Drosophila melanogaster: one gene and its partner. Changing the gene in region 2 together with the main gene of any one other region gives a genetic interaction. Each region holds a gene or a part of one and is shown on either strand. Other genes may lie near its edges. The genes, in order: Rh3 and ninaC.

What was found.
Region 1: of ninaC (region 2) and Rh3, changing one suppresses a phenotype caused by changing the other (phenotypic suppression), as found in Drosophila melanogaster (one study listed by BioGRID).

The regions. Positions count from the first base shown.
Region 1 is NT_033777.3:20,078,416-20,088,035, forward strand, and holds Rh3 (rhodopsin 3), read right to left. Parts: upstream 4,036-9,620; 5' UTR 4,012-4,035; coding exon 2,860-4,011; 3' UTR 2,645-2,859; downstream 1-2,644. UniProt on the Drosophila melanogaster protein: Visual pigments are the light-absorbing molecules that mediate vision. They consist of an apoprotein, opsin, covalently linked to cis-retinal.
Region 2 is NT_033779.5:7,376,118-7,389,870, forward strand, and holds ninaC (neither inactivation nor afterpotential C), read left to right. Parts: upstream 1-1,584; 5' UTR 1,585-1,748; intron 1,749-2,267; 5' UTR 2,268-2,283; coding exon 2,284-2,571; intron 2,572-2,666; coding exon 2,667-3,530; intron 3,531-3,588; coding exon 3,589-4,526; intron 4,527-4,594; coding exon 4,595-4,887; intron 4,888-4,946; coding exon 4,947-5,218; intron 5,219-5,285; coding exon 5,286-5,572; intron 5,573-5,638; coding exon 5,639-5,788; intron 5,789-5,843; coding exon 5,844-5,941; intron 5,942-6,004; coding exon 6,005-6,058; coding exon of another isoform or gene 6,059-6,222; exon of another isoform or gene 6,223-6,640; coding exon 6,641-6,828; intron 6,829-6,893; coding exon 6,894-7,309; intron 7,310-7,361; coding exon 7,362-7,638; intron 7,639-7,689; coding exon 7,690-8,070; 3' UTR 8,071-8,227; downstream 8,228-13,753. Other genes in the region: Wnt10 (Wnt oncogene analog 10), read left to right, coding at 955-1,142; CG5149 (uncharacterized protein), read right to left, coding at 8,770-8,874, 8,933-9,023, 9,143-9,249, 9,314-9,687, 9,750-10,065, 10,307-10,531, 11,858-11,986; gudu, read left to right, coding at 12,559-13,175, 13,258-13,753. UniProt on the Drosophila melanogaster protein: Required for photoreceptor cell function. The ninaC proteins combines putative serine/threonine-protein kinase and myosin activities. Essential for the expression and stability of the rtp protein in the photoreceptors.

The DNA of each region.
Region 1 (9,620 bases), on a different chromosome or scaffold from region 2:
CTGACTTTAGCCTTCCCGTTAGCTGGCTTTTGCTATAGCTTTTGCTTTTGCCGCTGCTTACAACAATTTGATGGCATATAATTATTAGTTCGTATAATTTATGGCTTCATTTTGGCTCACAAAGTTGTGAACTGCCTTGTGTCTTGTGCATTTCAAGTCGAGTTTGCTGGAAAACAGCATGGGGTCGCTCCTAGCTGATTTATAACTAATTTAGCTGACATTTTTATGAGCTATCGAGAATGCAGCTGCAAGTGATTTTAATCAGTTCGAGGAATATGCAAAAATATGAAAAGAAATTGCCTTTCGCCAGTCAAAAGGAAATCGAGTTGTGCTTCATCAAAGCAGAGTGCGATGCAAACTGGAAGTCCTTGGAGAAACTTGAACTGCATATATATAGTTATACTTTCTATATGCATTATTATGCATTAACAAATTCTTATATTGCACAAATATGTACTTTTTGTGAGGAGTTGCGCCACTGTACAGTGAACTCTGGCGATGACAAATTGTTGGATTGCAAACCACCATGTCCGCAATTTCTGTTGCGGTTGCATTCGAAGGCTCCTCAAAATAAGTCTCTGCACAATGGAGGTCTTTGAGAGAGTGGTTTGCGACCATGTGGGGCAATCAAACGCAAGCAAGCCGCCAACCACTCATTAAGCAAAGTCCATAGAGAGTTTCCCCACGCAAACTGTGTACTAAATGTATGTGTGGGTAAAGGTAAATTGTAGAGCCCATTTCTCCGGAGTTACTGCAACATGCGATGCTGAACTTTGAACTGTCACAAAATGCGGCCCCTTCATGTTGCCGACATTTTGTTGTATTTTTGTATTCGGGTGCGTTTTTCATTCACCTTGCTCTTTTTTGAACGTTGAACTTTGAAGGCGTCGAAAAGGCCTAATTATCTTAATTAATGAGAGCCAAAGCGAATTTCGTGAAAGACAAATGTGCCGTGCCGTCGTGCGGTGGCTGGTTTTCGCATGGCCTGTGTGGCTGTGGGTGGTTTGGGTGGTTTTCGATGGTTTGGGTGGCTTGGGTGGCTGGGTGGTTTGTGTGGCGCTGCCTGGCGGCATTCACTCAGCGGTGCAAGGACGTTCTGTGGGTGCCATTTTAATTGTCTCTGCCCGCCGACCGCTCCGTCTGGCTGCCTGTCTGTTTTTGTATATAACTATATATATCAGGCTGTGTGTGTGTGATTTTCATTAATTTTACTTCGTTTTTACCATTTGCGCGCGTCGGTGGCTGCGACCGATTTTGGTTTATGGCCTTGCTACTCGCTCAGCGCTTTTCTCCCGCATCTGCCTCGCATCTGCCCCCTGATTTTCTCTGGCATACCCACCAGTTTTCCCAGCTCGTTTCGCTGGCTGTCTGTGTGCGGTTTTTGGGTTCGCCGCAAAACGACGCAGGGAAAAGGCTCTGGCAAATGCCCGCCAGGCAATAAGTGGAAAAGCGTGCTAGGCTAGGCGCCAACGAGAAAGGCAGAGATAGGCAAACTCAGGGGAGGCAGGGGAGGGGCTTTACGAAAAGTGTGAAGGAAATGGTAGCTGGGAAAACAATAATAATGAGGCGCCACACAAACACACGGTGCAACACTTTGGCCAACAATTTGTTAAATGCCATTTGGGGTGGTGTTTGGTGGGCGTAAGCCAAAGCGGAGGCCATGTGGAAGTTGTGTGGCACAAAAATCTAGGCATCCTTTGTGGCCAAGGTTCTGCTGATTTACAGCCAGTTACCGCAGGCTTCAAAATCCAAAGGACGCGTGACTAATGAGACTGGGCTGCAAGTGGACTCCATGTGGATTTCAGGCCGTTATTTTGTTTACTTTGATGGCTAGGATACAAATGCAAATTCCCTCGGGTGCCACGTGCAGGTATTTAAGTGTGTGTGGATCCCAAGTTTGTTATTTATCAAAATTCCTGTAATATTCGGTCTGTGTTCGATTCAGCATTCCCCCATATATGTTTCATTCCCAAAAATGTTTCAATATTCGCACTGCGCAGGATCCTTCCACCTGCTAAAGCTTTCGCTCTCCGGAGAAAGTAAGCGAGCACAAGAGAGTTAGAGAGCTGCTTTCCCGTCTGTGGATTCCATTGGAACTGGCACAATTCCCTATTGTTCTTGGCCAACTCTTTTGCTGTTGGCCATCTCCGCTCCTGGGAGCATTAAGCCGCCTTCTTCGGCTCGTCTGAGTGCCCTGCAATGGCCGCGTCAAGTGGACGATTGACAATTGACAAGGGGGCAAAGTTCAAAGCGGGACTGAGCCTACATTTTTACATCAAGAAGTTTTTCCCCTTCGAATGAATGCACATTTTCGTTATCAGCAAAACACCAAACATTTAGGATTTCTATAAACATAAGTAAACCTGGTGAAACAATAGGTGTTTTGCACAATGCGTTGAGTATGACCTGATTATATCAACTCAAGATTTTTAAGAATTTATTTTATTAAAGTTGTCAACTGAGTTAATGACTTATTCAGTTGATAAGAGTATTTACTTAACTTTTTATGTTCAGTTACTTACATTTGGCCATATTTTAACACAAAAAAGTTGTGTAAAATTAAATCCTCTTTAACTTCCATCATTATTTGGTTAGTTCGACGAAATAAAAAAAAAAAAACAGTTTATATAACTCTTTTTTCCATAGCTTGCTGTAATTTTACTATATTTCTTTCATAAACACAAAAGTGACTACAAATCATAACAAGAAAATATTTTCAACTCTTTGCACTCTAGCAGAAACTCCGTGAAATATTTATACAATTTTCCCTGGCGTTTGGTATTACGAGTTCGTTGCCGTTTCAGTTCATCATCATTGTCAGCATTTTTTGGATGGGTGGCTGTTGGGTGGGAATTTGCATTAGGCGGCGGTGGTCTGCTGTGGTTCCTGGGTGGTGCTGGTGGAGGCGACAGCCGACGATTCCGGCGCCTTTTCGTTGAGCGCCAGCCAGGGACATCGCTTCTGCAGCTCCATGCGGTATCTGGGATGACTTATGGCGTACACGAACGGATCGATGCAGGCCACCATTTTGCAGGCACAGGCGGGAATCATTGTGGCTCCGGGCGTCAAAAGGGTCTTATCCCCAAAGGCGCCAATCAGCGACATAACTCCGTACGGCGTCCACGAGCAAAAGAACAGGAAGCATATGGTGATGGCCGCTTTGGCTATCCGGATTTCCGCCGTCTCCTTGTTTTTGTCCACATTCGAACGCAGCGATTCCACGTTCATCTTCTTGGCCTGATCCCGCAGTGCTTTCTCGTGGCTAAAGACATGGCCCACAATCTGGGAGTAGTAGTACGTGATCATCGTGGTGGGACACACGAAGCTGAAGAAGAAGATGCAGGCCACAAAGAGTCGCGTATCGAAGTTATCGGTGAGATAGTCAAAGGTGCAGGATGTCAGATATCCCTCCGGCACAAAACGGCCCCAAGTCTCCGTGTAGCAGGCAACCACCCATGGAGTGGCGTACATGTAGATGAATATGATCATGGCAATGGCCTTGCCATGCGTCATCTTGCCCTCCATGGGTCGAGTGATCACATTGAATCGATCGTAGGCTATAAACGCATTGGTGGCACCGGCAGCGATTCCCGTATAGGAGCCAATGATTCCAAAGATCTGGCATCCCAGATGACCCAGCGCATATCCCTGGTGGAAGCTATTGTAGATGAATATCGGAGTCTTGACCATCATCATGAAGTCGCAGAAGGCCAGATTGATGACCAGTATATTGGAGGGAGTTCGCAGCGATTTGGCTGCGGAGAAGACCCAAATCACCAGTCCATTGCCCAGCATCGACATCAGGGTGAAGAAGATGTAGAGCGTGCCCAGCAGGTAGTTCATCGATTCGGGCGGCTCCGGGTAAGTTAGCCAGTGCTCGGGAATGTGCCGCAGCTCCTCCGGCGGCACATTCCAGCCCAGCAGACGCGTTTCGGCGGAGAGCCGCGCCTCCGGCCGCAGCGCGGTGGACACGTTGCCAAACAGACTCGACGACACGTTACCGGACTCCATGCTCCGGTCTGCGGGCCAAGACGAAATCACAGCCAGCCCAGCTTGGGGCTTTTATACGGCCCATCGGAATTGGATTAGCATTGTCGCAGCGGGATTACCCGTTTGGGATTGGCCTAATCCCTTGCTGACATTTTCGCTGGCACTGCGTTTGCATTGATTCTCGATTGAGGGTGTAGTGCAGCTCATCTGAAGGTTAGTGCAGTGACCATTTTGGGTTGCAGTAAGTAAACTGATTGAATAATCAACTTACCTAGCCTCTTATCTTCTGACAAGAGTTTCACCTTGTAAAGTAGTTACAGCATATTTATTTTTCAAATGACAAAGCGTATTGTGTTGGTTCTCTTTCGAAGGTTATCATAAGCGTACCAAGTAAATAAAATGTATATATAATAGTTAAATATTAGTTTTATTAATAGAACTTCGGCCCTCTGGTTGGTTGCTTTATTTTAATATGAGTTATGTTAGTAGATACTATGTACCAGGCTATTTGAAGTGAGATGCAATTTGCGGATTTGTGTATTAAACTACAAAATTCAGTGCAGTCAGCTGCTCCATTAAACTTGAACTCGTAGACTTCTCCATATGGAACGAGGTGGTTCAGTCGACTTTTAAAATAATTTCTCCGACACCGAGGTACATTTTCTAAATTGCGTGCCCCAAAAGTGTACTTTAAAAAGTTCTGTGCTATCCTATCTGATCTGCACATACATATAGGTTTGGAAATTCCCCCATCTTACAGTGGGGTGGATGGGCGTCTATCTGGGTATCCGGTGCCATAATCAGAGTGTAGCAATTGGGCTGGGGCCACGCCTACTTATTAACTCATAAAACAAAAAGTGTAGCATACTTTGGCGCGCGTCCCAAGACGACACACACACACATGGCCACAGCGATGTGTGTGTAATTATATGTGCGCGAGCAGCAACAATTTAGGTCATAAATCATATGGAAAAAGTACACAAAGGCATGCAAATATTCCCCAATTCCCGGCAAAGCCGACAACCGCACACATATACAAACGTACGGCCTTGCATGTGTGTGTGTGTTTGTTTCATTGGGAGGGAAAAGTGGGTGGAGATCATACGTGTGCATATGCTAAAAGTATGTACAAAGATTGATTTCCCTTTGTTTGCCTTTTAGTGTGTGTGAATGTGTTCTTCGCTTATTCACCTCGATTCCGCAGGTCTACAGAACCCAAACCCTTGATACTTCAACCCCCCAATTTACCACAGCTCTCAAACCCCAATCCCCATTCCCAGTTCCGCCAACGTGGGCTCCACATCATAGACTACGTACATCAACTACATAAAGCTCCATGGGTGGTAATATTATATGCTGAATGAGTTGCCTGTTGAAATAATATGTTATATTCACTTGGTTTCGATTTTTGCTTGCGCCTTTTGGCTTCCGCCACGTTTTTTTGCATTCCCTAACATAGAGTGTTTTCATTCTGTGTCTGCCGTGTCTTTTAGTTACTTATATAAATTCTTAAAATTATAATAATTATAATTAATTACAATTACAAATTGAGTATTCCAACGAAACTATATTCGTAAGGAATTAAATCTATAGAATTGGCTACCGATGTAACTTATTGTTGAACATTTTTTTATCATATATGTAAGTCTATTCTGTGGTAACAAAAATACAGACCGATGACATGACACTTCTATTAATGTAATGGTATTTATTTTGCAGTGTATCTTAAAAGACTTGCTGTAGTCTAAATGGCTAACTAAATGTGATTTACGAAGCCGGGAAATGGGCCTTTAAGGGTATCCCTCAGCCTTCGAATCGAACTTTTCCTTCAGTTGCTTTCGTTTTTTTTTTGGTGGTGGCAAGGTGAATGACTCTGTGGGGACTTCGGCTGCGAGTACGGGGCGAGGGGCACGAATCTAGTGTGGATTTCCATGTAATTAAGGACAGCTGTCGGCGGCCCACAATTCCCTAGTGTCATTGGAGCAACCGATGGCGATGGGGAGCCAAATAGCACTGAGCTGGCAGTGCCAGGTTGATTAGTGTGCAGCATAAATGGAACATGTGTTCCTAGAGAAGCGAGCGGAAGGGCTGCCACTTCCACTTTGTCGATTGTCGCCGGCACTGATTAAATGATTTCATTAAGTGATTGCTGCCAAAGCTGACAGCGTCAATTAATGACAAGCGGAAATGAAAGTTGCTGCTTAAAAAGAAACTCCATTTAAGCGCAATTGCCAAGTGAATCGATAAAAAGGCAGCTGAGCTTTAATTTCCTTCAACTACTCTATCTTAGCAGATCGAAACTTAACTAACCCGAATGTAGCACATGAATTTTAGGCAACAAATTACGCAGCTAAATAAATTGTACCTCATAGATAAGTATTTGTTAGCTAAGCTTATAAATCCACTTTATCAGATTTAAGAAAATATTCTGGTCTGAGCTTTCCTACTGCCTGCCATAAATTCCTGCCTTCTGAATGAAAACAAGATATATGGAATTTTTAGCATTTGTGACTGGCAATCCATTAATTGGTTTAAGATATGCAACGACAAGGATATATTTACATGAACACGGCCAGCGGGTAGCAGCTGTTGAGCAGACACAAACCAATTTGCAGTTTGTAATGAACATTTTTTGGAAAATCTAGGCGAATTCGGATATTTATTTGCATTACCACCTGCAACTCACCCACACATGCCCTTTGGCATAGACAATCCCGCATATTACTCATACGTGGCGTTGTACAAAGTGAGTGTATTCGGGGGCATTTACTTGTGTTTGGAGTCATGTGTGGCCCCCACAGGACCTCGGTCGCATCCTTTCGGCTATGGCACGGTAATTGATTATCAAATTCAGCGTTGCATTTTGCCATGGCTCCGGGCCATAAAAGGTTGAGTTGCGGCATCGCAGCATTGGCCACAACGTCCCCTTTTGCCCGGCAGCTCCTTGTGGATCCCCTGTCTCGATTTCTTTTCCACATGCGGATTTTTTTTTTGGCCTCGTTGGCATAAAAAGTTTACTCTTTCTTTTTTTTTGGCATGCAAAAAATGGGCTCATGGGAGGCGTGGCACTATGTGTGTTTGTTAGTGTATAGCATCTGGAAAAGCGAACATATTTTTAATGTGCAAAAATCTGTGAAATTTGTGCTATGTCGCTTTGATTGCAGTTTGGTGAACATATTTTACTGTGCGTGTGTGTTTGGTATGTCCTGCAGCAAAGGGAAAGATGTGAATTCACTTTGGGAAAGCTTATGCTCGCCAAATGGGAAAAAGTTTGCAAAACGGTTTCCCGCATTAGCGAAACTATTTAAGGGCCAAACAGTGTTTAATTTTTTATGATTTTAGAAGCAAAGAGGGTACTTAAGCATTTGTTACGATATAAATTATATTTTCAATTTTAAAAGTGTAACTTCATAAAATATGATGAACATTTAACATAGGTTTTCAGAACCGCAAGATAGCAAGACTTTGATAAATTAAAATTTGGTAGTCAAGATCATTCTGAAACATATTAATTTTATTTTATTTATATAAAAGCGTCCAAGATCATTTTCCAAATTCTAGCTAAATTTAATTTCGCTCTCAGCTAGTTTATCTTTATGCAATGAAATACCTAATCAAGCCAAATAAGTATAAGTTTATAGTATGCATAATATATTCTGTGTATTTCAGATGTGAAATTCAAGAACATGCTAACGCAATTTACGGGTAATAATATAGTTGCGCAATGGCTGTGATACAACTACTGTTCTGGCAGCATTTAATAAAGTTGCATTGTCAATTCGATTATTTTGATATCTCGGCACATTCAATCAATAATTATCCCGGACATTCGTGGGTATTTAATTCTGGCCCTAACCCCGATTTTCCAATAATGATTTTTCCGGTTGGATCTTGATGGCGACTCCATGTAGTGATACCGCCCTTCACCGCCGGCTAACATAAATATAAACCCATTAAGTCATTTATTATTCTACGAGGTCGAAACAAAAAAGGCATGGAAACCCGTTATTGTTATCAATTCTAATTAATTAAAATGAAATTTGGTTGCGGCACCAAATTGAGCATTTTTGCAATCAATTGAAATTCAATTAAAATACGTTGCCAGCTGGCAATAGCTATTGTAGAAAGCCCACAAATACAAATGCGTGAAGTGAAGTGAAGGGTTAAGTGAGCGAAGGGGGTGTGTGTTTGAAAGCCATTAGGCAGAATACCAACGGTTACATGACGCCAAACGAAATCCATTTGGTTCAATTAAATTTATTCATCAATAAAAAAATAAAAGCTCAGCAACGGCAATTTTACAACAAAAGAGGGCCGCATAAAACCCGAATTTCGAATTAATTACGTAAAGCGGAAACGGAAATGCGACCACGCTATTTAGGCGATGCCCCAGCCAAAACATTTCCTCCATTCCCCATGGAAACACGCCTCGGCGGTCCTAAACATAATAAACTTGGTTATGCCGCAAATTATTCAAGCGAAGCGCTCGACTTCAGCTTCAACAGCGACCTTGAACATAACTGTACTGCGGCCACAAGGACATGGCCCGCTCTTGGCCATGTGACCATCAACCACATGATTGTGTTCATCAATTAGTTATAAATCACACGTCTTTGGTCACGGCTTTCGACTCGGACTTGTCGAACCAGAGAGGAAGATGCAGCCCGCTCAAGCTAAGATACTACCACAGTTGAATTCAAAGGTGCACTGAGCAAAACTATTAAGCTGTACATAAAAAGTCGGTTGAACGACGTACAAATTAAGTTTTTTTTATTATGAAATCACGACAAAGGAAAAGGTTGTCATGTTTCAAAGGCCAACACTTAAAGCACTAAAACGACATAAATTCTTAATACTGTAGCTTTATGCTATATTTATGTTTACTATTTGAATAACCAACTTAAATAATTCCGATAAAAATACGCGTCGAAAAATGTAAGTTATATGTGTATGAAATCAGTATAGCACTATGTGCCACAGAGTTTAGATAGGCTCTAACAAATGGCAATGTTTACAGACAATTTTGTCCCGGCCCATGCGGCGTATGCGTCATTTGTTGAGCTGACCTCCGATTATACTGTTACGAATTGGCGATTTATGATGATCCTTACAGGACATCAGTGTGATTTTTCTTTACCCATACTTAAAAATTTCAATAGATGATTAACTTCAACGTTGTTTTGCATATCCTTGTTTGTGCGCTCACATAATATGTACACAAAGTAACTCTTATATTTTTTTACATCCTCTTTGCTGCTTATTTATCTAACCCTAGTAAAACTCATCACACGACCATTGTAAGCGTGTTGTTTGTGCCCGTGTGTACGTGGTCAGTAAAATAATCACGGCACAATTATTTGTATAACTCATTTAAGTGCTGGCCCAGATGCAGATGACCATGGTTAGGCTGTTCTCGTTGCTGTTTCACTGTCAGTTTGTTTGTGTGCACTTTTGTTATGTAATTACCGCTGCGCACGAGCCCTGGATTGGCACTCTGATTCGGATTCTGACTCTGATTCTGATGCGAGCCGGGCGGGCTTGTACGGCCAACTGTTACAACTGTTTATGCTGGCGCTAAACAAACAGCCCAAATAGCCGCCCACACATGGCCAAGGACACAAAGGAACAAT
Region 2 (13,753 bases):
TTAAACGGGCTACCAAACCTGCCACATAATTTACGAAAAAAATGCGACAGCGACGCATGCGCACAGCAGCTCAGCTTAGCTTAGCTCAGTTTGGATCGGATCGGATTGGATTGGTTCGGATCAGCTCAACTCAGTTTGGATTGTATAAAGCAGTGGCGGAGACTGAAAATCTGAGGGGGGTTCTTATTTGACATTCTTAAAATAAAGGTTTTTGATATGTTATCTAAACTACAATTGGCCGAAACATACTAAAAGAAAATCGTTACTTTTTATGCTTGGAAATGAGTTTGGGTTAATTGTATCCCCTCATTTCTCCCCCCTTGCTTGTACTCTGGCTTGGGGGATCGGTCGAAACTGCGGCACGTTCACATCGAAATCGACGTCTAACTGCCACTTGCAATTTTCGTTAGCCATTTTGCTGTTGACACATTTGCAAATTATCAAGCGTCGCTGCTGCCCCGCCAACTGCCAGCAGTTTAAAAGTGTTAATTACGACGCAAATTTATAATTAATCGTCGGCTTAGCCCGGTAACTCCAGCTTCACTTCAAGCTCCAACTCAGGCTCCAACAGCAGTGAACTGGGGAGCAGCCAGCCCATCGGGCGTTTTGATTCATGTGTCCGTGTCCGGTGTCGTGTCTATTCAAATGATAGCAATTAACGCTGGCAATTATCGTCGGCCAAACAATTATGATACTTTGTTTGTGCTTTAGTTTAATAGTTTATTTATGGTCTTTTAATTGCTTGTCCGCCAGTAGGCGGGATTAACTGCCATTTGGCGATGGATTGCATTTGATGAGAACACTTAATCATTTGCTAATTACGCAAATCTTACACCACTAATTTTATTAACTTGTTATTTTTATATTTTAATAGATACCACATAATTTTCTTTTCTGATGATTATATCTTTAGAAAAACATAAACATGACTAATCTGAGCCAATTTCCGCACAGGCACCGTGGGACGCAAGTGCAATCGGAACACCACGACCAGCGACGGATGCACCTCCCTCTGCTGTGGCCGTGGCCACAGCCAGGTCATCCAGCGGAGGGCGGAGCGGTGTCACTGTAAATTCCAATGGTGCTGTAATGTGGAGTGCGAGGAGTGCCACGTAGAGGAATGGATTAGCATATGCAATTAAGGACAATGGACGCAAGACGAAGGACGATGAAGTGATGGAGCGATGGAGCCTCAGCCACATGCATAAGAAAAGACTTTTCTTCATTCTCACAGAACTTAACACACAAAGAAATCAGTATTACAGAAAAAAAAACATAAAGTACGCAATAGGGCAAACATCAATAAACAACGTGTGTGAATGCAATGCCTAGTTTAGCAATCTCCAGCCATTTGGAATACGTATAAATATATTTTGTAAATACGAACAATAAGATGCATAATTAGTCTGTCAATCAGCTGACTTTCACTCGCATTGCCAATTTCCCTTTCACCTCGGCATTTTGGCCATCTGTGTCGCCGCTTTTTTCACTTGCACGTGAATGTCGCCGCCGCTAATTGAATTAGCCAGCTAAATAGTTGTCCAAGGTGTGCACCCAGGTACTGCCCATTGAATGGCTTCCTTCCTTGCCAGTGAAAAGCCTCCGATTGCATTGGCCCATCATTTAGTTGGCTAACGGCAGCGGTACGTGCTGCATGCGTGCGGTCGGTTCGAAGTTCCACACAAGTACATCCTTGCAACCAAAAATACACAGCTGCAGGATAAGTGTGCCAATCTGCGGCAGCGAAGGTGTGTCCTGAAGGATTAAGTGTTTGAAGCCCTGTGAAGTGGATATAATACAAATAACCCCCTAGAATCCCTTTATCCAAAGTTGCTGATTCAAAATACAAACCTAGGAAGGATTAATTACCAAGGATAAATCGTACATTTAACTTTTTCGTTTTCACATGAATTATTTAAGTGTTTTATAGAAAATGGTTTTATTATAATTTTACATTTCAAAATTGCATCTTATTTGTTTAAAGGTCCTTGAAATCTTTCGTGCTTGCAAAGCAAACATTCCAAAATATCCTTACGTTAAGTAAACCAAAGTAACTTAACTTTCACCTTTAAAGAAAAAGCAAATTGTTATTAGAAGCAAAAGATTACAATGAAACCTCTAGAATGCCCATTCTTAAGTGTTTTGCAACAATGAACCCAAATATAATGCGATTTGCATGAGGGAAAATTGAAAAAGAAAACCTTTGAAGCCCATTTTATGATAGACCCAATTCCCAAGTTTAACCCACATGTTCTTCGAATATTCAGAATAAGCATCTAAGTCATGATGTATTTACCGTACGCGCAATTGCCGGATCCTACGGATAAATTCGAGATCTACGAGGAGATAGCCCAAGGCGTCAATGCCAAGGTTTTTCGGGCCAAGGAGCTCGACAATGATCGGATCGTTGCCCTGAAGATTCAGCACTACGATGAGGAGCACCAGGTTTCCATCGAGGAGGAGTATCGCACTCTGCGGGACTACTGCGACCATCCCAATCTTCCCGAGTTCTATGGCGTCTACAAGCTGTCGAAGCCAAACGGACCTGATGAGATCTGGTTTGTCATGGAGGTGAGTCAAAACATTTTGTTAATATTTTATTAAATTTTTTCCAAAAATTTAAATCCAATTTTTTGTAATTTATATAAACCATTTGAATATTTCAGTACTGCGCTGGGGGAACAGCAGTGGACATGGTTAACAAGCTTTTGAAACTGGATCGTCGAATGCGAGAGGAGCACATCGCCTACATTATCCGGGAGACTTGCCGTGCTGCCATCGAGCTGAACCGTAATCATGTCCTGCATCGGGACATTCGGGGAGATAACATATTGTTGACCAAAAATGGACGGGTCAAGCTGTGCGATTTCGGTTTATCCCGTCAGGTGGATTCCACTCTGGGCAAGAGGGGCACCTGCATTGGATCTCCCTGCTGGATGGCTCCCGAAGTGGTGTCCGCCATGGAATCCCGCGAACCGGACATCACCGTTCGTGCCGATGTCTGGGCCTTGGGAATCACTACCATTGAGTTGGCCGATGGAAAGCCACCGTTCGCTGACATGCATCCCACTAGGGCCATGTTCCAGATCATTCGCAATCCACCGCCGACCTTAATGCGACCCACTAATTGGTCGCAGCAGATCAATGATTTTATATCCGAGAGTTTGGAGAAAAATGCCGAAAATCGGCCCATGATGGTTGAGATGGTGGAGCATCCATTCCTCACGGAGCTCATCGAAAACGAGGACGAGATGCGATCGGACATCGCAGAAATGTTGGAACTCTCTAGGGATGTAAAGACTTTGTACAAGGAGCCGGAATTGTTCGTGGACCGCGGCTATGTGAAGAGGTTCGATGAGAAGCCGGAAAAGATGTATCCGGAGGACTTGGCTGCCTTGGAAAATCCCGTGGATGAAAACATAATCGAGTCACTGCGTCATCGCATTTTGATGGGGGAATCGTACAGTTTCATTGGCGATATCCTTTTATCCTTGAATTCCAATGAAATCAAGCAGGAATTTCCGCAGGAGGTAAGTTGAAAACATCTAATATGTATACTTAAATATGTTATATTTATCCTTTCTCTAGTTCCATGCCAAGTATCGCTTCAAGTCGCGTTCGGAAAACCAGCCGCATATTTTCTCGGTGGCCGATATCGCCTACCAGGATATGCTGCATCATAAGGAGCCGCAACACATCGTGCTCTCCGGAGAGAGCTACTCGGGCAAGTCCACAAATGCCCGGCTGCTAATCAAGCATCTGTGCTACTTGGGTGATGGAAATCGTGGGGCCACCGGGCGCGTGGAGAGCTCCATCAAGGCCATCCTGATGTTGGTGAATGCAGGAACTCCGGTAAACAACGACTCCACAAGATGTGTCCTACAATATTGCTTGACCTTTGGAAAAACCGGCAAAATGAGTGGGGCCGTTTTTAATATGTATATGCTGGAGAAACTACGAGTGGCCACTACGGACGGAACCCAGCACAACTTCCACATCTTCTACTACTTCTACGACTTTATTAATCAGCAAAATCAGCTTAAGGAGTACAATCTGAAGGCTGATCGCAATTATCGTTATCTGCGAGTTCCGCCAGAGGTTCCGCCATCGAAACTCAAGTATCGTCGTGATGATCCCGAGGGCAATGTGGAGAGGTACAGGGAGTTCGAGAACATCCTGCGGGACATTGATTTCAATCACAAGCAATTGGAGACCGTTCGCAAAGTTTTGGCTGCCATTTTGAACATTGGCAACATCCGTTTCCGGCAGAACGGAAAGTATGCGGAAGTGGAGAACACGGACATTGTGTCCCGGATCGCCGAGCTCCTCCGTGTGGATGAGAAAAAGTTCATGTGGTCTCTGACCAACTTCATTATGGTCAAGGGCGGGATCGCCGAGAGGCGACAGTACACCACTGAAGAAGCTAGGGATGCACGCGATGCGGTGGCCAGCACGCTCTACTCTCGATTGGTGGACTTTATCATCAACAGGATTAACATGAACATGTCCTTCCCACGGGCTGTGTTGTAAGTAATATTAAAAAAAAAGTTACAAATTCATAAGTTTAACAATGTGGCTTAAATAACTTTTTAAGCGGAGACACAAATGCCATCATTATTCACGACATGTTTGGATTTGAGTGCTTTAATCGAAATGGTCTGGAGCAACTAATGATCAATACTCTAAACGAGCAAATGCAATATCACTACAATCAACGTATTTTTATCAGCGAAATGCTGGAAATGGAAGCTGAAGACATTGACACCATCAACTTGAATTTCTATGACAACAAGACAGCTCTGGATAATCTGCTAACCAAACCGGATGGCCTGTTCTACATCATTGACGATGCCTCACGCTCCTGTCAAGATCAGGATTTGATTATGGGTATACAACCAATTCTGGCACCACTTTGGATATGTGATTTAACCACTTTCCATCTACAGATCGCGTTTCGGAGAAGCACAGCCAGTTTGTGAAGAAGCACACTGCCACTGAAATATCCGTGGCTCATTACACGGGCCGCATCATCTATGATACGCGCGCCTTCACCGACATCAACCGGGACTTTGTGCCGCCGGAAATGATCGAGACCTTCCGCTCCTCGCTGGATGAGAGCATCATGCTCATGTTCACCAATCAACTGACCAAGGCTGGCAATCTCACCATGCCATTCGAGGCAGTGCAGCATAAGGATGAATCTGAACGGAAGTCATATGTAAGTCTGTCACAGTTTTTATTAGCTAACCTAAATTTGGTATATTTTTGTAAACTATGCATTTCAGGCCTTGAATACCCTAAGTGCCGGATGCATCTCCCAAGTGAACAATCTACGTACCCTGGCGGCCAACTTCCGCTTCACCTGCCTGACCCTGCTCAAAATGCTAAGCCAGAATGCAAATCTCGGCGTGCACTTCGTTCGCTGCATTCGCGCTGATCTGGAGTACAAGCCCAGATCCTTCCACTCGGATGTCGTCCAGCAACAGATGAAGGCCTTGGGAGTTCTGGACACTGTTATTGCTCGCCAGAAGGGATTCAGCTCGCGTCTGCCATTCGACGAGTTCCTAAGGCGGTGGGTAATCGATTCCATTCCAGTTTCCATTTAAAGATTTCTAAATATTTAAAATATTCGTATTAGATACCAATTCCTTGCCTTTGACTTTGATGAGCCCGTGGAAATGACCAAGGATAACTGTCGTCTATTATTCTTGCGCCTCAAGATGGAAGGCTGGGCCTTGGGCAAGACCAAGGTGTTTTTGCGCTACTATAACGATGAGTTCTTAGCCAGGTGAGCTATCAATTCATACGCATTGAGAAAAGCAAGTACTATCAATTGCTTTCAGATTGTATGAGCTGCAGGTGAAGAAGGTCATCAAAGTGCAGTCCATGATGCGAGCTTTGCTAGCACGGAAACGAGTTAAGGGCGGCAAAGTTTTCAAATGTAAGATATAAATAATACTTATACAGTATATGGTATGAAATCTAATTTTAAATTCCCTATTAGTGGGCAAAAAGGGACCGGAGCATCATGATGTGGCCGCGTCCAAAATACAAAAAGGTAAAAAAACGCAGGTGGATAGGCTAAGAGAGTACGACGAGGAGCACATCGACATAAGCGAGACGCCCTCGGAGGCGGAGGAGATGTTCCTCGAGGCCAGAATGGATGAGGCTCTGGCAGCGGTGCGAATAGCCAAAATCGAGCAGGCCTCCGCCGAGGAATAGGCCCCTACTATATACCATTTATACACACTATATCACTATATCGATCGATACTAATCGTAATACGACTACCAATAAAATGTAGAAAACGCAAACAACCAGCTATCATCTAGTCTAGGGCCTCGGCAAACCACTTAAGCCGCTTAGTGGTGTCCAATGTGGATACCATCCCACCCCATCCCGCTGGGCGGTTGTGTTCTCCATCTGATGCAACCAATCGGCTTATAGCTGTCTGAGACATAACACTTAACATCGACGGCCCCTGCGAAAAGAGATGAATTATAAGTGCTGCGTAGAAAAGAAATGAAAATTTAATTAAATTAAGGTGACTTCCCTCTCATTCACCACCACCGTCCACCGCCGCGACCGCTTTTCAAATGGGTTACTCTAACGGCCTTCCTCCGTTTCCATTTTCCCACAGCCTTCAGGGGATTCCGCGACCGCGTCCGCCTCCCTCCGCTGGTCAACGAGAAGTCCGGCCAACTAAACGAGAACACCGCCGACTTTATCCGTCCGTTTGCCAAGAAATGGCGCGAGAAGTCTATCTTCCAGGTCCTCCTGCACTACCGCGCGGCTCGCTTCCAGGACTTTGTCAATCTCTCACAGCAGGTGAGTTCAAATCTCTTATCTTCAAATCCAATATATATATATATATATATTATATTATGTACCAGGTCCACATCTACAACCAACGAATGGTGGCTGGCTTGAATAAATGTACTCGGGCTGTGCCCTTCGAGAGGATCAATATGCGCGAAGTGAACTCCTCGCAGCTAGGACCACTGCCAGTGCCCATAAAAAAGATGCCATTCCGCCTGGATCAGATACCCTTCTATGACACCCAGTATATGGTGGACCCGGCCAATTCCATTTCCCGCCAAGCCTTCCCCAATCAGCTACTAACGCAGCACATGGAGGACGATGAGCCTTGGGACAGCCCTCTGCAACGCAATCCTTCGATGACTTCTTGTGCCCTGACCTACAATGCCTATAAGAAGGAGCAGGCTTGCCAGACCAACTGGGATCGCATGGGCGAGAGCGACAATATCTACAATCAGGGCTACTTCCGAGATCCCCAACAGCTGAGGAGGTTAGCAAAGATACTCAAAGGTTGAACTTAAGTTTCTAACACTTTTTTTCAGAAATCAAATGCAGATGAACATGAATGCCTATAACAATGCCTACAACAGCTATAACAGCAACTATAACAACCAGAACTGGGGCGTACATCGATCCGGATCCAGGCGCAACTCCTTGAAGGGCTATGCGGCGCCTCCACCTCCTCCTCCACCAATGCCCTCATCCAACTATTATCGCAATAATCCGAACCAGCAGCAACGCAACTATCAGCAAAGATCCTCGTATCCTCCGTCGGATCCAGTTAGAGAACTTCAGAACATGGCTCGCAACGAGGGTGATGTAAGTGTATGTCAATTTCCTAAGGAAATTCTTCAGATATTTTCTTTCCAGAACTCTGAGGATCCACCATTCAACTTCAAGGCTATGCTGCGCAAGACTAACTATCCGAGGGGATCCGAGACCAACACCTATGACTTTAACAATCGCCGCGGATCGGACAGTGGTGACCAACACACGTTCCAGCCGCCCAAGCTACGCTCGACAGGTCGCCGGTACCAAGACGATGAGGGCTATAATTCATCATCGGGAAACTATGGTGTGTCTAGGAAGTTTGGCCAGCAGCAGAGGGCTCCGACCTTGAGACAATCTCCAGCCAGCGTGGGTCGCAGCTTCGAAGATAGCAATGCTAGATCCTTCGAGGAGGCAGGATCCTATGTAGAAGAGGAGATTGCACCTGGAATCACTCTTTCAGGCTATGCCGTCGATATCTAAAACTAGTGATTAAGAGTAAAAATATTAAAATTAATTGTTATGCAAACCATAAGACAATTTAGCTAAAACCCACCTAAAATTCCAAAATAATGATTGAAGTTTTCTTCATCACTTTCTCAAAAACGTTTCACACAATGGAATAAATAAAATGTCTTGGGATAAATCGTTATTTAAATTTTCACTTTTTTCTTACCGCATTTCATTTTTCTATCTCTATAAACCACTTAATTATTTAGGTTATTTGTAGGTAAATGCTACCTTGGCATACTCAAACATTTAACTTTAAAGACATTGATATAAATTCAGCAATTAATTTGCATTTTATTGACGTAGGATAAAAATGGGAAAAATTCGACGAATTAACATTGCTTATTATGCTTGCTTCTTTGTTACATCATTTAAATGATTTACTTTTCTCACTTTAAGATCTAAAACGCAACAACAATACTCTCAGTATTTCATAAACTATATCCATTATACATTGTATATATAAACATTAATACCTAAACAAAAACGTTTATAGGAATGGATTGAACAAATACTCTTTTGTTCGCAGGACTTTTTTTGTGTGTTCGATAGGGATTGCAAAAAAGCTAAGGAAACTGAATTGAATCATTAACTGCACACCCATATCGGGCATGGTCTCACAAATTCTCGATGATAAAACAAAACTTTTTCCTTAAATAGTTTCACATAATATCAATCATCCATGTTGGGCTCACGCAATCCATCCGAGTGCATTTTCTTGCCCGCAATTTCCAACATGGCCCGATCTTCCAAATTGCCATCCAGCACAGAACGTTTCTATGGGTTAAAGATATGATTATTTATTTAATATAATATTGAGTTTAATTTGACATACGTGACCGTCGCCTTCTTCGTCTTCTTCTTTAACTGGTAAGTCTCCTACGGCCCAAACTTCCATGTTTCGTATTTTGAACTGTTTCCGTTTACTTGGGTACGATAAATAATTGGTAGATTAACCACAATTGTTTAAAATAATGTTGAATTAAAATATAGAATCTAGTGGTCTGTAAGGTGAAACATAATCAAGATTTTAATTTACACTCACCTCAACTGCACGTAGTCTCGATATGTAGTGCAACTTTCAACGCTTTGTCCATCGCCGAAACTGCAGTCAATCCAAAGGCCCCAAAAATCAAACTGACCGCCCATGCCCTGTATACGAAAAATATAAACATTTAGCAAAGCAATCAATCAATTAGCTATAAACATTACTCACCAGGCCATTCGGCATAGTCTGCTGATTCAAATTCAAATACTGATAGTGATTGTTATAAGTTGTGGCCGAAAAGCACCGCATGGCAGGGCTTAAGGTGTAGAGCAATGAGCTGTCATCGCCTCCAAATTGCGGTTTCACGGACCACGTTTCGGACGCGTAGCCGCCAAATATATATTGATCCTCGTCCTCAATAAAGAACAGCGTTGGTCCTTTGTCCAGCACTTTTCCCAACATCGTCGAGAAGCTTTCCCCGTTGATTTTCGATGAGAATAGAAAGCGCCATTTGTGCCGATGTTCGCGGGGCAGCTGAGCATTGATATACAGGACGTGAGGTAGTTCGATGATAGGGCGATAATGACTATTTTGCGGAGCATCTGGAAAATAGGAAAAAAGTTATAAACGATTTTAATAAATTTAAAAATTTTCTTTGTCCTACCACACAGTGCTGGCAGAATTGGAATTTCCATTTCCTTGATTATGTTGCGTTTGCTGCCACCATGGCGACAATACAGCTGGCTAAAGACCTCGCGCCAAATCTGCAAAAACTGCGGAGTGACGTGTAACCAACGTTCCAGGGCATCGTTGGGCATAGTGTGCTCTAGCTCCTTGCCCAGATTTCTCATAAGGCCCTTGGCAAATGTGGCGGCGGACCTTTCCGTGGTGTTAAAGCCAAGATCGTGCCACTCCTTGATGCCAGAGTTTTTCGCTGTACTTTCCAAGTGCACGTAGCTCTTGATCACCGAGTAGATATACTGGGGAATTATAAAATTGATTAATTCGCGAGCAAAAGATAAAAGAATTAAATAAACAAGTTGTTCATATGACAGCTAAGAAAATAAACGTGGAAATCTAGTTTTCAGGATAAACATAAATGGAGAGCTAAACCTAATTCAATAACAAACATGTTATGAATCCTAATGAGGCTCGGCTGACAGAAGTTATAAATATTATTTCCGCGATCTGATGACAATGACTACTTATTTATAGACTCACTTGCTCCAATTGCTTGCTGTTGAAGGTGTCATTTCCACTTCTCTCCATTGAGCCCAGGAGCATTTGCATTTTCTGGTCAATAGTACCGCGTTCCATGATGTAGTAGGGCTCTCCAAATTTCTTCAGCTGAAGGTTGACACATTGCTGACCTGGCTTCGTGGGCGTAAATAGATACTGAGCCGTACTTTCGGCCAGGGATCTTTCGATGGTTTGCGACCAAGTTTCCTATTTTCGAAACAAAACAACAGATACATGTATATGTGTGTACATAAACAAAATGCGCGCCGGATACGTAAACATAATTTTCCCGCTGCTGTCAGCAAATTCTTGCAGGGAACGAAGGTCTGGGAAGCGCTGACACAGATTAACCCATTGAAGGACGTACAATGAATAATAATTTGGTTTGACTGAAAACAAAGTCTCTCAAGTTTTATGAAAATAAATACTACTTCAATGTATGTAAAGTTTCAATTTAGAGAGTTTCCGCTTAAATTACTCTATATGAATGCAAGTCTTATAATTTCCTCATTCTAAAAATCAACTATTTCACATGCCATGCTGTAAACGGGTTAAGCATATGGTTTATTTTTAATTCAATTGGGTTTGGCCCTAATTGACGACCCCAGTCATTGAAATCACGACTAATTCGTTAGCAAGCAAATTCAACAAAGCAAAAGACAAACAGTGAAATGCGGCAGCAAACAAATTAGACAAATTATGGACACGTTCGCACTGGCCCAGGAATTATCAATTCGAAACTGATAACGCCCGAGTTGAAGATATCGAATTTTGCTATACCCTAGGAAGCGCTGTGATAATCAAACACGAGCTATAAATAGATGGAAATATTATAAGGAAAAATCATCATCTGGTTACAAACAAACATTTTTTGAGTGGTTGCATTTCCGTCATCTGTGCTGTGATAAAAATAAAACACAAATCTGGGGCCTTGAACCCGCATCGGAAAAATTATAGCATAAATTGTGTATGATCAGATTGATTTAACTAAATGGGTTAAAATAACAATTTTGGAAAGTTACGTGTACATTTAATCTAAATAGGACTGACTAGTTTAGAAAATTACATTTTTAAACAAGTTGAATAATTTACTTTTTATAAACTCTGTTAAATTTCCTGGTTTGCACTTTAAATCGAAAAAGAACTGTATTAAAATAAGGTTTAGAAACTTTGAACTTTTGTATAATGCCGGATAATGTTGCGACTCACTCTCTTATATAACTAAGCTTCTTTTTCGGAACATAGTACTATGATTAACTTCAATGTTTAATCCTCGAAATAGGAGTTAGTGACAACAACAAATTAATGCCCTAAAGGATATACCCATTCAAGTGAAGGGTGGCCATCGCAGCAGGTGGATGGACGGCCGTTTGTCATGCACTCGAAAGTCCCGATTTCTCTTTTTTTGCCGAAGAAAGTTCACTCCGCGCGTCCTTGAACTTGTGACCCTGACCCTTCCGCAAATGCAGAATGCAGTTGCCATTGATTTTCGCAGTGCACACGTGGCACGGTAACTGGATTTACTTGACTTACCACCAATCTGTCTTGGGTCAACTTCTCAAGTGCTCCGCCAGAGGCGTTTTTGTACGCGGATTCCAGCATGCGTAGCTCTTCCGAATTGTAGAGATTATCCGTCTCCCGCTTGCCACTCGCATTTCCCATCTCAGGACACGAAATTCAGTTGGCTGGTGCTACGACGGCTGGTAAACAAACAATGCAGCTGCAGCTGCGGATGATCGCGGATTTTAATTGAAAATAAAAAACAAACAACACAAGCTGGTGATGGAATGGCAGTCGATTTCCCTGCGATACCCTCGATAGTTTCGGAAACGGGTAAATTTCGCGGTGGTCGTCTGCACTATGAATGGTTATTGTCTGTGCTAAGTCAGGTCGATGTATTTGCTAAACGGTTAATTTTAACCGCTAAGCGAATTCAACGAAGGCCAAGCGAATAAAATAAATTTTAAATGCCTTGGATAGCTGTAGTTAAAAATTTATTAAAATAAAAAAAAACTTACAAGTTTGAGCTAAGATACCTTTGCCCTAGCCCGGTATTTTTGAAATTATCTCAGTTACCTTAGCAACACGCCTTATTAAATCAATTGCCTGGCCTAATAAAGTTCTCCCACACAAAAACACAATAAATTCCGATACAAAACTGAAGAAAGCTGGCATACCGACAGATATTTCCGGAATACGATTGGCCAAATCTGTGAGTAATCCAACGCGAAAGGATGATTGGCACTAGCAGCGGAACGTCCCACAATCGGAGTCGAAAGAAGAAAGAACAGTGCGGATCCTGTCCCAACAGATTCTCAAAGGATAAGCGCCAGGTGGCCGCCGAGGACTCGGATACCACGGAGGTGGAATCGTCTACGGATGAGGAGGAACGCTGGAAGGAAGTGGCGCGAGCCGCTGAGATTCCGGCTGACTATTATAATATCCAAAAACTGGTGAAATACATCAAGGCGGGCAATCAGACAGCCACTATAGTATCGTTGTGCTGCTTGAAGGACTACGATCTGAGCACCCAGATCAATCAGTTCGCCATCTCGGACATCGGCGGACTCGATGTCTTGGTTAACATCCTGGAGTGCAGCGACACCAAGTGCTGTTTGGGCGCCCTCAAAGTTCTCTCAGATATCACACTGAACATCGATATTAGGAAGACCATCGTAGATCTGGATGGCATTCCCCTCATTGTGGACATCCTAAACTCTTCCATGAAGGACCTAAAAACCATGGCCGCCGAGACATTGGCCAATGTGTGCAAGGTGCGACTGGCCAGAAAGTATGTGCGCACCTGCGGAGGAATCCCCAAGCTGGTGGATCTCATCGACATCAAGTTGAGGTGAGTTGGCATTGGATAAAGTGCTTCATACTACATCACCACATATAAGAAATAATTAAAAAAAAACCTAATTATATTATAGCATTCTAAAGACGCCTCGTGACCAATTGAGTCCAGATGATCTGGAATCTCTCGATATGACACGCGCTGGAGCCCGGGCTCTTTTCACTCTGGCCGATTCCAAGCACAACATGGAGCAGATGCGCAAGAGCGGAATTGTTCCTTTGATGGCTCAGCTCCTTAAGTCCTGTCACATCGATGTCGTCATTCCCATAATGGGCACCGTTCGAAAGTGCTCCTCGGAGCCGAAGTTCCAACTGGCCATCACCACCGAGGGCATGATTCCCGACATTGTGAGCCATCTGAGTTCCGAAAATACCGAGCTGAAGATGGAGGGCAGTACAGCGATCTACAAGTGCGCCTTCGACGGAACCACCAGGGATTTGGTGAGGGAGGCTGGGGGCTTGGAACCTTTGGTAACTATCATAAAGGACAAGAATGTGAGGGAAAATAAGCCTTTATTGAGAGGCGCCACTGGAGCGATTTGGATGTGTGCCGTAACCGATGCAAATGTCAAA